Canis lupus familiaris: one gene and its partner. The protein of the gene in region 2 interacts with the protein of the main gene of each other region in a biochemical or structural test. Links are inferred from orthologs where the notes say so. Each region holds a gene or a part of one and is shown on either strand. Other genes may lie near its edges. The genes, in order: CCK and CCKBR.

What was found.
Region 1: the proteins of CCKBR (region 2) and CCK form a complex in vitro, tested with the Homo sapiens proteins (3 studies listed by BioGRID). The link is inferred for Canis lupus familiaris from reciprocal best matches to the Homo sapiens genes CCKBR and CCK.

Annotation. Positions count from the first base shown.
Region 1 is NC_049244.1:11,647,843-11,655,905, forward strand, and holds the end of CCK (cholecystokinins), read right to left. Parts: intron 7,204-8,063; 5' UTR 7,202-7,203; coding exon 6,991-7,201; intron 3,062-6,990; coding exon 2,928-3,061; 3' UTR 2,651-2,927; downstream 1-2,650. UniProt on the Homo sapiens protein: This peptide hormone induces gall bladder contraction and the release of pancreatic enzymes in the gut. Its function in the brain is not clear.
Region 2 is NC_049242.1:30,099,508-30,108,398, forward strand, and holds the start of CCKBR (gastrin/cholecystokinin type B receptor), read left to right. Parts: upstream 1-4,029; coding exon 4,030-4,180; intron 4,181-5,133; exon of another isoform or gene 5,134-5,246; intron 5,247-8,581; exon of another isoform or gene 8,582-8,656; coding exon of another isoform or gene 8,657-8,669; intron 8,670-8,891. UniProt on the Homo sapiens protein: Receptor for gastrin and cholecystokinin. The CCK-B receptors occur throughout the central nervous system where they modulate anxiety, analgesia, arousal, and neuroleptic activity.

The DNA of each region.
Region 1 (8,063 bases), on a different chromosome or scaffold from region 2:
GTATACCCCACTGGGTGCCATCAAAGCCACCACAAACCCTAATTCAGTCTAATTCAGACTCACGGAGACACATTTCCAGATGAGTCTCCAAGCCCCTTCTCTGCCAGACTCAAAGTGTCTGCTCTAGATGACCTCATAAAAAGTTCAGAATTGACTGCTTCAACCCTGGCACAGCCATGTGTGAGCAGAGTGCAAGATAAGTCACTGAGCCTCTCTGAGCTCCAGCTTCCTCTTTGAAAAATGGGGTCACCTTGCTTGCAGGATTGGGACAGCATCCTGAACTGGTGCTCACGAGTTGCCTTGTACAGAGTCCTGCACCCCTGAGGAGGCCAGAAAATGTTCTTTTCCTTCCCCTTTCCTGCATTAGGAAAAACTGTGAGACTTTGAAATGAGTGAAGGGGACTAGTGGGTGTCCTCTCAGTGGGACTCCAGGTAGTGATCAGATGCTGTTGAAGGTCTGTGTTTCCGACTGGGCTACTTTGTAAGCCACAGAAAACTGACAGTCCTGCAAATACTTCTTGTCTATAGAAATGTAAGCGAATATTGTCCCCCCAAAATACAACTTATTTCTGCCCTGGATAGCAGATTATTCTGCACATGCCATTTTATTGGCCTAACTATACAACCCAGTTTTGTGTCCATCAGGATATTCATTTCAGTACTATTTTTTTAAAGATTTTATGTATTTATCCATGAGAGACACAGATAGAGGCAGAAACATTGGCAGACGGAGAAGTAGGCTCCCTGGGGGAGCTTGATTTGGGACTTGATTCCAGGACCCTGGGATTACGACCTGAGCCGAAGGTAGACACTCAACCAGTGAGCCAACCAGGTGCCCCATCATTTCAGCATTCTTGACTGCCTCTATGTGTCTGTCCTTTAGATTCTCCTTTGAAATGATAGGACATCTTACTGGTCCTTTATTAATGAGTAAAATAACATCTTTGATATATGTTCATTTATATTTGTATGATTCCCATCTTTATTTCTGAAAATGATACTTTACCATCTACTTCTCTGATGACTTATAAATTATTAATTCAGATCAGACCTCTCTCACCCAGTCCCCACTGCTAACTTAATATTAAATTCTAAGTCTTTCACCAGCCTTCACCCCAACACACACACACACACACACACACACACACACACACACACAACACACACAGGTCATCATCTATACCCAATTACCCTTACCTACCTGGAAAAAAAGGGTTTTTTTTTTGTTTGTTTGTTTGTTTGTTTTGTTTTTTTGTGAGATGTGTGTGTTCTGCACTAAAAACATATGCATCTGAGTATTTGGCCAGGGCTTGGACCCCTGAGATACAAAGCAGAGGCCATATTGTAGGGACTGAATGAGGAAATGACCTCACAAAGGAACAATATAATGTGTTGTCTATTCAGAGTCTAAGTTTTGCACTGAATGCTAACTTCAAGTTAAAGAATTGTAAAGTCCTCAGAGAAAGAGGACTGGTGTCATTTTTCTACCACCAAGGGAGATGGCACTATGTGCCTGCAGGGTAGCCCTGGACTGAGAACGAACCATCTGGGACCAGTTATAGATTCGCCAGCATTCTTTCCAATGTCTTTTCCTTTGGGGCTGCATGCCCTGCTGCATCAGGCCACATGGGGCCTTTGCTGTATAGGAACCTGAGGTTCCTGAAAGCCTTGGCTAAGAGGCATAGAAGGACTGTACCTTGGGTAGCTGGTGTCAGATTATCTCTGGGTGTCCCCTTGAAATAATTTCTTTTCTGGACCCCTACAGAGACCCAATGGAGGGATTGGCCCAAGAAAGGAGAGTTTCTGCTTCAGGTAGCTACTAGAATCACCCAACATGCTATGAAATATGTCTCTGAAATATGGTTAGACCCAGGGGATTGTAATCACAGGCTCCTCCCTAGACCACTGCCACCCCAAGTGTGGTCCAGGACCCACCACACTGGTTTCACCTGGGAGCTTGCTCAGGCCCAAGGCCAGACTTGTTGAGTCAGAATGTGTGAGTTATAAGATTCCCTGGTGATTCACATGTACTCCAGAGTCTGGAAGGGCTCGGGTGATGGAGGTCATGCTACTGGGAGCAATCAAGTCTGTGAATCTCATTAGCTGGGGAACTGTGGGCCAGTCACTTTTACCTCTTGGGACCTGTTTCCTCATCTGTAAAAGGACAATAACCTCGGTGCCACAGGGCCATGGAGAGATCCAAGGGATGTGAAAGCACTGACTAGCATTTGCCCCATAATTTGTTTAAAGGCCAAGAGAATCCCAAAGAAGTCCTGGTGAGGGATGGGGTTACTACATCCTACAGGGATGGGCAGGTGGGAGGCTCCAACCCAAGCTGCATCTCTGGTCTTTACCCAGACAAATGAGTGCTCAGTGCAAGCAGGGCATGTTTTCTTTTTGCAGTGAAGCCCAGCAGGGGCCCCACACCCAGGGTGGCCAGAGCTGGGCCATGGAACTGACCCAGAAGGTCCTTTTACTGGCCATTTTGCCTGGCAGTAGAGAAGTTAACCTCATGTCCAACCCTCATCTCTCGAGCCCTTTCTGGGACCATCTATGCCAGGGGTTTGTCCTTGGGTATTATCTCAGGCTTTCCTCCTTGAAGGTCCTGTGGATTATATGGAACCCTTTGCGCTCGATAGACACAGCGGACTAGGGAGCAGAATGAAATTATTTTAATAGCATAGCAACACTTTAGGACCACGCATCACAGACGAGGAAAATGTTTTGCTTTCCATTTGTACAATTCTGGTGAGGTGTGAGGTTGCACTGGACAATCTTACAGACATTTTTCACATTGAAAACTTAATAAATAGATAATGAAAATGTCAAACTTCAGAGACAATGACTTATGAGTGTGATTGTTTTCTTTTTCTGCCTCTTCTGAGCCAGGCGGTTGCTTCCTGGTGTGCCGACAAAGGCAGGGTCCCTTAGGAGGGGTATTCATACTCCTCAGCACTACGCCGGCCAAAATCCATCCAGCCCATGTAGTCCCGGTCGCTTATCCTGTGACTGGGGTCCAGGTTCTGCAGGTTCTTAATGACGGACATTCGGCCAGAAGGAGCTACAAGGGGCAGGGGCAAAGGAAGCAGGGCCATTACATCTAAGAGCATCACTATTTCAATCTGTAAAGGAGAACAATGGGAAAAGCCAGACAATACAAAAGCTCCTCCTTAAAGGTATCAAAGAGCTGTTCCAACAGTGGGATGGATTACTAGACCAAAATCTAAGAGAAGGACCCAAGTCTGTGTCACTAGAGAGAGTAGTATTTACTAGCCATGGGTATGGCTTCCAATCTATAAGGATTTAAGTGAATCCACAGATTTGTGGCCTTCCACAGCTTAGATATGCCTTAGTTTTCCTACTCCTTGGGGTGTTTCCACCGTGGTAGCTGGCCCTCAGTAGATGCCAAGCAAGGGTTTCCTTGGTACTTACCCATTTCTGGAATTTGCCCCTTGATATCCCGAGCATACCTGACTATTGTTAAGGTGACGCAGTTACAATATTTTGGTTTTTTTTTTAGTTACAATATTTTGATGTTAGAATGGTTTAAAAAATAGAGTCAAGTTCCACTGCTAGACAAATACTGTGTACAAATTAATTTGAAACTACCTTCTTTTTCAAAATGATAATGAGAGTAAGACACACTGTCAGATTAAAATCTTACGTCAGTGGCATTCAAAGAAGAGTGGGCAGAGAGGTAATAAGGAGGTTAATTCATCCCTTTTGACCAAAATGCAATAACTGAATGAAAAATGGACCTTCAGGAGTTAAGTCGTCAGGAACAGGATGATTCTCACGTGTAATTCACATTGAGCGAACAGGGACATGAAGAAGCAGTTTCTTTGGAGACATATGACACAGTCCTAGCCCACAGATCACAGACAGTGACCTTCTGGATGTGAAATCAGTATAATGCCTTCTTTTGTGCAAGCTAAGAGGCAAGAAATGTCCCTCAGGGACCTCAAAGGGGGAAAGCCCAGGGGACTTTAAGAGCAGAGTGATGGAGGACTGCTCCATGGTTCCTATCGTATGAGGGCCCCTGTGACCCCACTGCTCTGGATGCTGGCATCGAACCCTCCTGTATGAGACTGCCCTTGCCAGCTCCTGCCCACAGGCTGCAAGGAGTCAGACTATGACTTATTTATTGATAAATGACCTTGCAGGAGCAGTTTCTCTGTCTTATTGGATAACCAAGTGAAGCTAGCTAAATTAAAAACCAGAAACAATTATACAGAGTAATGTCCCCACCCATTCTTCTCCTGACATCCCCACCTCAATCCCTTCCCAGCCTTGGGATCAAAAGTCAATCCAGACATTCCTGCCTCTTTGCAGGTATCTCCAGCTATGCAAAAGGAAAACAGACCTGGCTGTTTCATTGTTCAACATTTTTCAGGTGAAATACTAGTCTTTGCATTCAAAAAAACCTTGCATATCCAGTTATTTGTACCCAGTTATAGAAATGTAGCCCATTCTTCTGCCTGGTGATGATGAATGCCACCATGAAGGGCTGGGCATAGCCCCAAGTTCCAGTTAATGAAGGCAAAGCGGCAGCTTCGAGGTGCATAAGCAGCCTAGGTTTGTTGGGCTTGGGTGGGGGAGGGGGGTGGTGCAGGAATCACATTCAGCCCTGGTAGCTGTGCTGGTTTCACACCTCAATCCCTCCATTCCACACACAGTTCTGTGCTCACAGTGTGTGCATTTACCTGGGTCCTCACTCGCTTCTCCAGTGTGACACAAAGTAGGAACTACACCTGGTTTACAGAATTGAATTGAAGGTCCTGCCTCCTTTAAACTTTAAAACCCCCCGAATGGGCAGTACAGCTGGGAAGATGACTGGCTTCCAGTCCCGCTGGGGAGGGCAGGGCTTGAACAGAGTGTCAGGTGTGCAAAGTCATGTAGGTTATATATTCTCCCAGAGCCTAATGGAACTTACTAACCAGGGCTTCAGCGAGGAGTAACAGACAGTACAGATGTTACAGATGTAGCATTAGAGCTTTGTTGGGCATGGGGCAGGTGTATGCTAGATGTCCCCTGCCCCCAATAGAATCGCTTCTCAATCACTGAAAGCTCTGCAGACAATTAATTTCTAACAATAAACTCTTGAGCACTCCTCGAAGAGTACATTATCGTGTTTAGAATCTGTAAGCATAAGTACTGTAGTTGAGTACATATCCAGTATGATCTCAAAATGTGTAAAATATTCAAGGATAGGTATAAATATTTCTTCCTGGTTCATATTTGTTAAATAGGCGAGTAGGATTATTTTCTGCCTCGTGCCGGTTGTGGGTGTTGGCAGCTGAAGTCCCGAGGGGCTGCCATTCCCGCATGGGCTTGTGTGGTACAGCATTCTAAAGGCAAAGGGAGAAAGTGGCTGAGCAGAGATGCTAGGGACAAACTTCCAGCTAAGATTTGTAGTATAAAGCCACTGCCAAGTGTCAGTTCTGGGGAAGTAGTTTGGCAACTGGCTTGTTTCTCAGACCTGTTTCTCGTGGCTCTTTCCTGATGATGGGGAGGGGGTTCCAGATGACAGCTCAGTGAAAAACCTATGATATTTCGGACTGGTCTGGCTGAAGTTCAACTGACATCCAAGGACAGATATTAAATTACTTTGAGACAGATAATCAATAGGAATTCAAGAAGTTTTCAGACTTTCTCTGTCATCTGACTAATATTTCCAACATCTCTTAATTTAATTTTAGTTAGAAAGCAAAACAGAAGATGGTAGCTGGGACAATTTCCCAAAGAGCGGACAAAATATAACAAATCATCTTAAATCATCTTTTTTTTTTTTTTCTCCTTCTGAATTCCCCTGGTCGAAAAACTTTTGATCTTACCTTCATATGAAACCATCAGAGACTCTGGAAAGCCAAGCCCATCATTTTTTCCTTGTTTAGTCAAGGAAAGCCTCCCTGGCACATGGGACGGTCAGAAAGCCTCATGGGAAAGGGGTCCACCCTCTACCCTTCCCAATAGCATTTTCTGTGGTTTATTGGCTGGCTGCATTGGTCTAGTTTAGCACACCACCCCACAGCCATCCATGTCACAGCGGATCAAGTTGGTTGAAAAAAAAAAAAAAAAACTGTTTCAGTCCCAATCATGATTCCTAAGGAGCCTACAGACAAATGAGCCTCCCTCGGAATCACACAGAATGCTAGAAGGGACCTAGGGAACTCTAGCTTTCTCTGTGCTTTACAGACGAGACAGGCCCAGGAAAGGGACAGGGCTGTCAGTATGTCACCCTGCTAGTGAGCCACCAAATCACCATAATCCTGCAGACAGACATCAATGCTGAGAAACCTGGCTTGCACAGTCCTGCTGCAATTGGGACCACCTCTCTAACAGCAAAATAAAAACAAACAGGTCTCTTGAGTAATCATTTTAAATCACTGCCAAGGAGAACTCAAAACTGCTACTGATTCTTTCCTCCTGTTACATTCTTTGGTGAAAACTGACACATCGTCACTGTTTTTTCCACTGTTGTCAGGACGCAAGAGCTTTCTCAGCATCAATGCCTTCCTGCTAGGGGGTTTCCAAGTGTCACACCTGGGTGGCTCCCGGTTCCTCTGCATTTCCAGTATTGGGTATTTGGTAGATCTGCAAAGTCTTTTAGAGTCAGTAATTTGCTTCATAATTACCTTTTAATATCTTCATAATACAGCGTTGAACTTAAGCAGCAACACGGGCCAACACTAGTTCAAGAAAGCTCTTTTAAAAAGGTTTTCCTTAATTAATTGAATCCACCGCATTCGCTCTCAGTTTTCTACAAAGGAGGCCAGAAAACCGTACTGTCCAGCGCAGTGCAATGGGGGGGGGGGGCGGGCGGGGGGGAGAGGGCGAAAGTGAAGAAACCTTTCGGCTTAAGGCACCGCCTGTTTCCTTCCCAGGGGCTACCCACCTCCATCAGCAGGACGCTGGGGAACAGGGTCAGGATGGGGAGCCGCAGGCGGGGTCAGAGGAATAAGGACCCCGTAGGCGAATGAGCATCCGTACCTTTCCGGGCCTGCTGGATGTACCTGGCCAGCAGGGCGCCCAGGTGCGCGCGGGGCTCGCCGTCCACCTTCTGCACTGCCCTCAGCTGCCTCCGGGGCGCCTCGTCCTCCCGCTGCGCCCCCGGGCCCGCCGGGTCGGCCGGGACGGGCTGCGCCAGGGCGCCCGCCGCCAGTACCGCCAGCAGCACGCACAGGCACACGCCGCCGTTCATGGCTGCGGGACAGCAATGGGACAGGGGACGTGAACGACAAGGCGGGGGCCTCGCGGGCTCTGGCGGAGGCACCGGGGGCTCAGTGCAGGCGCGCGGGGCTCCGGCCGCGCCCGCCGGTGCAAGGCAGGGGCTCGCCAGGCGCCGCGGGGGCACGCGGCGGCCACACCCCGTGGAGTCCCGGGGACCCAGCCTTCCGCCTGGGCTGGCAGAAGAAACGTCTTCTGTTTTCCTTGAGTTTCAGAAAGTGTTGTTAGAGCGCCCGTCTTGTAACTGGAAAAGCAAGAGTTAAAGCTGGGAGAAACCAGACCCCCGGGAGCCAAGAAGCTCTCAGTGGGGGAAAATAAAGGGTGAAGAAGGGAGGAGCGCAGCTTAAAATGCAGGAGCAAGAAATTAAAGCCGTGTTTCTGAAGTTTCTTTAAGGTGCACACGGGAACCGGCAACAAACTACGATGCAAAACCCAAAGGGCTTTTTAGAATCAGAAATAAGCGCTTGGTCTTCCGTCGTTGGCAAAGCGCCGTCGCCTTCGAGATCCACGAGCAGATACGACACCCGCACTTTTCTATCCCCAAAGCCTTGAAATTTCCTGCAATATTTAGAAAGTGAATTTAAATCTTAAAGCCCCTTGGGAGTCTATTTGAGGAGACGGCCGGGTGCACCGCACCTCCGTGTAACATCCAGCAAAGCCCTGGGCGCGGGCTAATTCCTAGCAAATAGCTATCCCGGCGCGGCACGGGCAGGGCACGGGGACGGAGACGGGGCAGGGCACGGGGACGGGCACGGGGACGGGGACGGGGCAGGGCACGGGCAGGGCACGGGGACGGGCACGGGGACGGGGACGGGGACGGGGACGGGCACAGGGAC
Region 2 (8,891 bases):
CTGGCTTTGAATTGTAACTTTTTCACCTAGTAATTTTGTGGCTTTGGGCAAATTTCCTGAACTCTCTTAAAGCCACAGTTTTTTTCAGCTAAAATAGTGATCAGTCATATTGTACTTAAATGTACAGTGCTTGGTGAGGATTAAAACTAATGTGCTTTGAACAGAGTAGGTGATCATCAAACAATTCCTATCCAGTTACCAGAAAACTTATGCGTGTTAAGTGGCATCCTTCTCCTTCACCCTCCACATGGAAGCATCCTCTAAATTCTGCCTACATCCTAAGTAGCTCCTGGGTCCATATTATCCACTACTTTCATGACTTTAAACTGAAGCTTTGAAGCTTCATTGAAACTGCTGTTATATGTCACCTGAGTTATGTCATGGACTATCAACTGGTCCCACCCCTTATGGTGCCCTCCATCTCAGCTGCCATAGCAGTTACTCCAAGTCTTTCTAAATCCTAACAAATTTCCAGTGCTTCCACTTCTTCCTTGCATCGCTTGCAAATGTGTTAGTTTTCTATTGCGACTATAGCAAATTACCATGAATCTGGAAGCTTAAAACAACATCCATTCATTAGGTTGCAGACATGTGGGCCAGAAGTCTGGTAGAGTATGGCTGAGGATCCTCTGCTCAGGGCATCACCAGGCTGAAGTCAAAGTGTCAACCAGATGAAATTCTTTTCTGGAGGCTCAGGGATTGGTGGGGGGATACCCTTTTCTAAGCTCATTTTTGTCATTAGCAGAATCTTGTTCCCTGTGGTTGTAAGACTAAAGTGCCTATTTTCTGGCTGGCTGTCAGCCAGAGGCTGCTCTCAGCTAGAGGCCACTCTCAGGTACCTGCTCTGCACCCTGCTCCTTCATCAAGCCAGCCACAGTCCCTTGCATTCCTTGCCAGAGTGGCCCCCTCCATTTTCAAACCAGCAACAGTGTGTGAATTCTTCTTCAAATCTCTCTGACCTCCTCTTTTGCTGCATATCAGAGTAAATTCTTGTGATTTGGCTAGGATGACTTGGATAATCTCTTTACCTTGAGGTCAACTGATTAGTAACATTAATTACATCCGCAAAATCTCTTTTGTCATATAACATAATCATGGAAGTAGCATCTCATCATATTTACAGATTCTACCCACACTCTAGGGAAGAAGATTATACAAAAGTGAAAATCCTTTGGTGCCATTTCATAATTCCACCTACCACAGGAGGGGAAGCCAGGAAAAACATCCCTGAGAAATTCTGATACCTTGAGCTGAGATGAGAAAGATGAGCAGGAGTTAATTAGATAAGGAAGGAAAGTTTTTAGAGACCATGTGTAAAAGTCATATAACTGGCAGACATAAACTCAAAAAAAAATGGACTCAAGAAAGGCCAGTGTGTCTACAGGGGAGAGAACAAGATGCATAGGGACTTGAAATAAGGTGGTTAGAGAGGTCAAGAGGAGCCAGATCACACAGCCTTCAGAGACTGTGAAAAGATTTTCTCTATCCCCAAGGCAAAGGTCAGAAGAGTGGCACAATCAGATTTGTGTTCTGCACATATCACTCTGGCTATAAGGTGGAGGATGGATGTAAGGAGGCATCTGTAAATGTGGTGGACCACTGAAGAAGCTAGGAAAGCAGTGCAAGAAGCAATGGGATAGTGTCAGCGCAGATATAAGCAGATGGATTCAAGGAACACTCAGTGGCTAAAATCAACAGGACTTCATGATTGATTGACTACGGGAGGGAGGCAGTTATGTTCCCCAGGAAGCAGAGTCTAAGACAGAGATTACTGTGGAGGATGTTTACTAAGGAGTGCTCTTGGAGTCAACACCTGTGCAAGAGCAAGGATGAAAGAAGGACCGGGTGAAGGGAGAAGAGGAGCAGTGGCTCAGTCCCCACAATGGCCTAGGTCAGACCCTTGAGGCACTAAGCTGAGCAGTCACTGGATGCAGGATGCTTCAGGAAGGGAACATGACCTCGCCTGAACAGGCTTTTCCTCGGCTCAGCCAACTCCCACAGGGGCTGGAAGGTGCAAGCTGACTTCCCGAAGCACTCTCTGCAGCTGCAGAATAAAATCCCTCACATTTGGAGAGGAGTCTGGGCTTTTTGTCATAGCCTCTGCTCCGGTGGAGCATAAGGGAGTAAGGCAGCCAGGCTGATTCCTAAATTTCTGACTGGTGCATCTTCGCAGATGTACATCCAACCATATGTCATAATGGTTGGCTTACCTGTCACTTTCTCCCCAGGAGAGCTGGAGCTACTCGGGCACAGAATGTAAGAGACAGCTAGTAAACAGCCCTATAGTTGGCACATGCTTTGCTGAATAAGTGAATGCCCATCTCCTCCTATTTCCACTCCTCTCTCCCTCCTACATTTCCTTTACTCCCCGCCCCCACACCCTGCCGTCATCCAATGTGGGAAAAGTCCAGCAGGTTATCTGAGGTGCCACCTGTGCTGGAGCTGAACAAACAGCAAATCAGGCTCTTCTGGTCCAGGGCACTCTGATGGGGAAGGCAACCAGTGCCAGGAGGAGGGGAGTGGGGGGGAGACAGGTGACAACATCCCCACCCGCCTCAGGCTTAAATCCTCCTTATAAACTCCGTGCTAGCTGGAACAGGTCCTCTCCAAAATATAGACTGGATAGGGCTCTCTGAATTCCCCAGAAACTCAGACCTCATCCACAGTCTAATCTGCTCTTTGACCGGTGCCCCCACCTCCAACAGATACTGCTGGGAGCCCATGAGTGGAATTTCAAGGTCATATTGGAGTTTCCTTGGAATGAAGAATGGAGGGCCAGCACGGCTGAAATATAGTGGAGGCAGGTCCTGCCAGAGGAACTGAGCCCACCACCTCAGGCTTGTGTTTGTCCCCTTAAGCTTTGCTCCCGCTGCATCCCAGGGATCTGGCCCCTTTCCGGTCCCCTCTCCTGGGAACCTGACCCTCCCCCCCATGGCTGCTCCACCTGCACTGGGAGCAAACAGGGAGGGCCAGTGTGTCGGTGAGGGTGGGCGAGGGTGGGCGCTGCCTGGAGACCATGAGAGCCAGCCGCCCCCTTTCCTCTTGTGCCCAGGGCTGGGCCGGGATTGGAACCAAGCCCCACCATCAGCGCCCCCCCTCCCCCGTTCATTCTAAGCTGTTCTCACTGCTACCCAGGCGGCCCTGACCCCCAAGTCAGACTCTTCCTCCGCGCAGCCTTTTTGCGAGCCAAGATTGCCCGAGGACAAGTGCTGCCCGCCAACACCCCCGCACACACCCCGCCCCGCCGGCGTCCTTGCCCCGGGGCGGAGGGTTCCTTGGGAGCCTGGGTGTTGCGCCCCAAGATAGGAGGCGGAGGGTGTGGGGGCAGATGCAGGGGCAGATGCAGGGGCCGCCCCAGCCCCTTGCGAAGAGATTCAGGGAACTATGAGAGCGATAGTGTCACGGTCACTGGGGCCACTGCGGCACAGGACAGTAACCCGCGGCTGATGCCACCGTGTTAAGTGCCACCTCCACGTCCCCTGACCCACCAGGGGGAAATGCCGGATCCCACGGCAGCCGCGCCCTAACTCCTCTTACCCTCTCCCCCCCCCGCACCTCCCTCTCCGCCACCCCTCCATCCACCCGTAACCCCCACCGCTACCCTCGCCCATACACGCGCGCACACACACACGCACGCACACACACGCACACACACGCACACACACGCACACTCCCAAGAATTCCACCGAGGGACGGTGGCGAAGGGGAGTGGGCGGGAAGGAAATCTCTAGGAGAAAACCGGGGAGCCCGGGGAGGGGGCGAGCCTGAAGGCCATCGGGGGGCGGGGAGCGCGAGTCCCGAGCGTGGGAGGGGGGCGGGGAGTCACCTGGCGGGACCGCGGCGGCCGAGCCCGGCGGGGAGGCGAGCCTAGGCGGGGCGCGCAGAGGAGGAGCGGCGGGGCAGGGGCCAGGGCTGGGGGCGGGGACCAGGCGGGGCGGGAGCCTCCGCCCGAGCCGCGGCGCGAGCAGGTGGAGCCGCAGCGGGAGCCCGCCCGGCCGAGCGGAGGGAGGCGGTGGCTGGGCCGGGGCCATGGAGCTGCTAAAGCTGAACCGGAGCGCGCAGGGGTCCGGAGCCGGGCCGGGGGCTTCCCTGTGCCGCGCGGGGGGCGCCCTCCTCAACAGCAGCGGTGCGGGCAATCTCAGCTGCGAGCCGCCTCGCCTCCGCGGAGCCGGGACACGAGGTGGGTGCCCCCCTAAACCCCCTCCGCCAGCTCCTTCTCGCTGCACCCCACACCGGTAGAGGCCCCCACTGCCTCCCCGGACGCCTACACCATCCCCTCAGTACTCCCTCGGTCCCCAAACAGCCCCCCCGACACTTCTGCCCCCCCCCACCCCCCCGCCCGTGCCCTCCCCAGCTCATTAAAAACTCCATCACAGCTTCACACCACCTGATGGGAGCCCCCTCACACCCGGGGCTCCCGGCCGCACCCAACACAGAGCCCCCTTCTAGGCACAGACGGTCAGGGGGCAAGGACCTCCTCTTCCCTCCAGGTCTCTCTTCCTTTTAAATCCAGTTCACAGAGCCACAATGGGGAAGGAAAGAAAAGAAAAGAAGGCAAGACTGGGGAAAGAAGAGGGTTGGAGGAGGGAGGGAGCACTCTGGAAGGCTTAAATGGGAAGTCAGTTATAATCTCCTGTGTCCCCCACCCCAACCCCCAGCCTCACCAGAAGAGAGCCTCAAACCTGAGTTAGGCTGGACATGGGGGGCTGCTCCCTAGAGCTGCCTGTCTCCATTTCACTCCTCAAATCCTCCAGCCTCCCAAGGTGGAATTCTAATCAAGACTCTGTCCCCTCTCTCTTCTGTCTCCCAGGCCCTTCCAAGGCCCCTCTCCAACCTGCCTCTCTTTAGGTCTCATCTTCTTACAGCCTGGCTTGGCCCTTCATCTCCTATCCATTGTGCCACCATCTCTTCCCCACCCCCAGTGGTTCCACTTACTCAGTCCCCAAAATGACTTTCACTCCTCCCACGGGCCAACAGCCGCATTTTGTTGATAACCCAGCTCACAATATATGTTTTCCCTTCCTAAACCTTTTCTTTCCTTAAATGTCTCCTGAACACCTGCTGTTGTAGTTGAGCAAGTGCTGGGGACATAGGGATGAAACAGACCCAGTCTAGACCCTCTTCTGTCCACAGTCAAGTGCAAAGGGAGACAAACCAGTGAGAAAATAACAACGTGAGAAGTCCCAGGAGAGGGTCTGAATTGTGGGCATCCAAAGGAGATGGAAACCAAGAACTTCATAGACGAGGTGAACCTGGGAGCTCGGTCTTGAAGTCAGCCTCCTGAGAAGTAACTGAATAAAAATTAAAAAGATGAAGGAAAGCCAAACAAGTGAAGGGGCAGGAATGGCATAAAATAAAATAAAATAAAATAAAATAAAATAAAATAAAATAAATAAAAAACCAGCATTCTAAGCCGAGGAACAATATGATTAAGTGCCCAAAGTTTAAATCTATGGCACTTTCGTTCGCTGTGTCAGTTTCTGAGTGCCTGAAACATACAGTATAAGAGAGGGAAAATGAGCACTCGGGATGAAGACCAGAGTTTATGGTCTAGAGGGTTTATGAAGAGCCTCATAGACCAGGCTAAGGAGTGGGGATTTTTTTTTAAAGATTTTATTTATTTATTTGAGAGAATGAGCACGAGCCAGGGGGAGGAGCAAAGGGAGAGGGAGAAGCAGACTCCCCTCTGAGTAGGGAGCCAGTGCTACCAACCTGGGGCTCAATCCCAAGACCCTGGGATCATGACCTGAACTGAAAGCAGATACTTAACCCACTGAGTTGCCAAGGTACCCCAGGAGTGTGGATTTTTTATTATGAGGGTAATGGCAACTACTGAAAGGCTCCACAGTACAGCCAGGATTAGTTCTATAGTGTAGAGGATGGACTGGAGTACAAGATAGGAAAGGTGGGGGCTTGGGACGCCTGGGTGGCTCAGTGGTTAATCGCCTGCCTTCAACCCAGGGCGTGATCCTGGAGTCCTAGGATCGAATCCTGTATCGGACTCCCTGCATGGAGCCTGCCTCTCTCTGCCTGTGTCTCTGCCTCTCTTTCTCTGTCTCTCATGAATAAATTAATAAAAATCTTTTTAAAAAATGAAAGTGGGGGCTGGGGGGACACTTTAGAAGGCTACTATATTACTCTGGTGAAAGATGATGGGGGCTTAGACTAAGGTATTCACAGTGGGGATGGAGAGAAGTGGGTGGATTTGAGAAGCACTTCTGGAAGGAATCAACAGAATTTGGTGATTCATTGGAAATGGAGAGGGAGGAAGAGGTCAGGGGATGACATCTAGGTCTCTGGCTTGGACAAATAGATTAATGTTGGTGCTATATCATGAAGAAAACAAAGGAACAGAAACAAGTTTGAAGGAGAAGATTATAAATTCAGCTTGGAACCCACTGAGTTTAAATGCTGGTGAGATGCCCAGGTGTGGTTAACCAGTGAACTGTTGAATCTGGTCAGGATCTTAGGGGAGAGGTATCAGCTGAAAATACAGATTTAAAATGTCTTTGCCTACAGGAGTTAATGGAAGCCACGGGAATAGATAAAATCATACAAAGATTATATAGGATAAAAAGAAAAGAGGTCCTGGGGCAGAACCCCAAAGGAAATTGATATTTTTTTTCAAGATTTTATTTATTTATTCATGAGAGACACAGAGAGAGAGAGAGAGAGAGAGAGAGAGAGAGAGGCAGAGACACAGGCAGAGGGAGAAGCAGGCTCCATGCAGGGAGTCTGACGTGGGACTTGATCCCAGGTCTCCAGGATCAGACCCTGGGCCAAAGGTGGCACTAAACCGCTGAGCCACCCGGGCTGCCCAGGAGATTGATGAAAAGGCAAAGGAAGGAGAGTTCATGACGAAGCCATCAAAGAGATAAGAAGGCAAGGAAAAGAGTTCAAGCAGGGTGGGATACATGATGTCAAATGCTGCTGACGTAAGTCAATACGGACAGAACAGCATCCTTCAGATCCAGTAAGGAGGAAGTCCTAACAAGGAGGAGTAATGGGTGTTAAGGCCTGACTTATAGTAGGTTGAGGTTTGGGACAGTGGGGAAGGGGATTATGAGAAGTGAACCAGGTATGTAGACAAGACTTCTGGAAGAAATAGGATAGTGTCTAGAAATAGCACGGAGTTGAGGAATGTTGTGTGTAGTAAGGGAATTGTCTTTGTGTGTGTGTGTGTGTGTGTGTGTGTGTGTGTGTACACAGTAAAGGCACGAGTCTTTTTAAAATGTTGATGAAGAATGGGCCGAGAGAGAGAGGCTGAAGGTGTAGCAGAGAGCAGGGATAGTCATCAGAGCAGGGGACCCTGAGAAAGCAGAACATGAAGTGATTCAGAGCACAGGTGCAAGAATTGCCCTTCCTCATCTGGATGTTGTCGTCTACACAGAACTGTATGTTACCCAGGCAGTTACCCACGAAGACCCTTAGCCACTCACTCGGATATTACCCCCACAGATGCATGTTAGCCAGGCTCACTCCAGTGTTACCAGTAGAAATGTGGATGTTACCCACATTAGTCTTATATGTTATCCACACAGACCTGAGTGCTAATGTTCACTTGGATGCTATCCACAGAACAGCAGCTGTCACCCACAGTTACTTTAACATTGCCCACAGACATTTAGATGTCAGTCATCCATCAAACACACTTGCTTTCATTTTATTATCCACACATAGATATTGCCCGTGCTCACTTAAGCAACCTTTTCCAGATATTACTCATAAAATCATAGATGTTACCCTCATATGTTCAGATATTCCACAAAGACTCAAATATTACCTGTGTTCGCTCAGGTACTCAGTTATTTTACTCAGTCATATTAGTATCTCACTTAACACCTTAACATGTTAACATCTCACGTCCATACCCACTTAAACATAGCCCACACATACTTGGATATTACTTCTGCTTTCTCAGCTACTACCATCATCACTTAGATATTCCCCCAATTACATTCAGACCTCTGAATGTAATCCATGTTTCCTGAAAGCTGTTATCTACAAAATGAGATGTTATCCACAAACATATCTACAGATACTACCTCTGCTCACTCAGATGTTACAATTGCTCTTGCTCACTTCAGCAGCACCTATACTAAAATTGGAACAAATGTTACAGCACTTGCTCAGATATTATCTAAATCTACATGTAACCCACACTCAATCAGGCATTGCCTACAGACACATAGCTGTTACCCACCTCAGACCTTGTCCACAAAAATAAGCATTACTCTCACCCACCCAGATATTATCTCAAAAACTAGTTTTATCCAATTTTCACTCTGATATTGCCTATACATCCTTCTATACTATTCCTGCTCCCTCAGGTAGTGCCCATTAACATTCAGATATCCCCATTTTCCCAGCTATTACCCATAATCAGTTGGATGCTATCCACGCTCACCACAGCATTACCTTGACATCTGTGTTCATGAGTGACCGGATCCAGTATACCTGTGGAAGGTAGGATTTGAGGAATCAGCAGCTTCAGTGTTATTTCTTATAAAGTACTGATTTTTGTTTTATGGCACATTATCTGGGTTTTTGTGCTCATACTTCTCTGTCATCATCTGGACAGAACAAATGCAGATCCTCTAGACCCCAGAAGCAGAAATGAACTGCCAAAGTCTTTTGAATTCCCTGGCTCAGCAGGATGATGCCCACAGGTAATCAAGGCACTCATATTCAAAAAATGCCTCTCCCATTCTTCTACCCCTACATTAAGTTCCTAGTTGTTGGGGATCCCTGGGTGGTGCAGTGGTTTAGCTCCTGCCTTTGGCCCAGGGCGTGATCCTGGAGACCCGGGATCGAATCCCACATCGGACTCCCAGTGCATGGAGCCTGCTTCTCCCTCTGCCTGTATCTCTGCCTCTCTCTCTCTCTCTCTC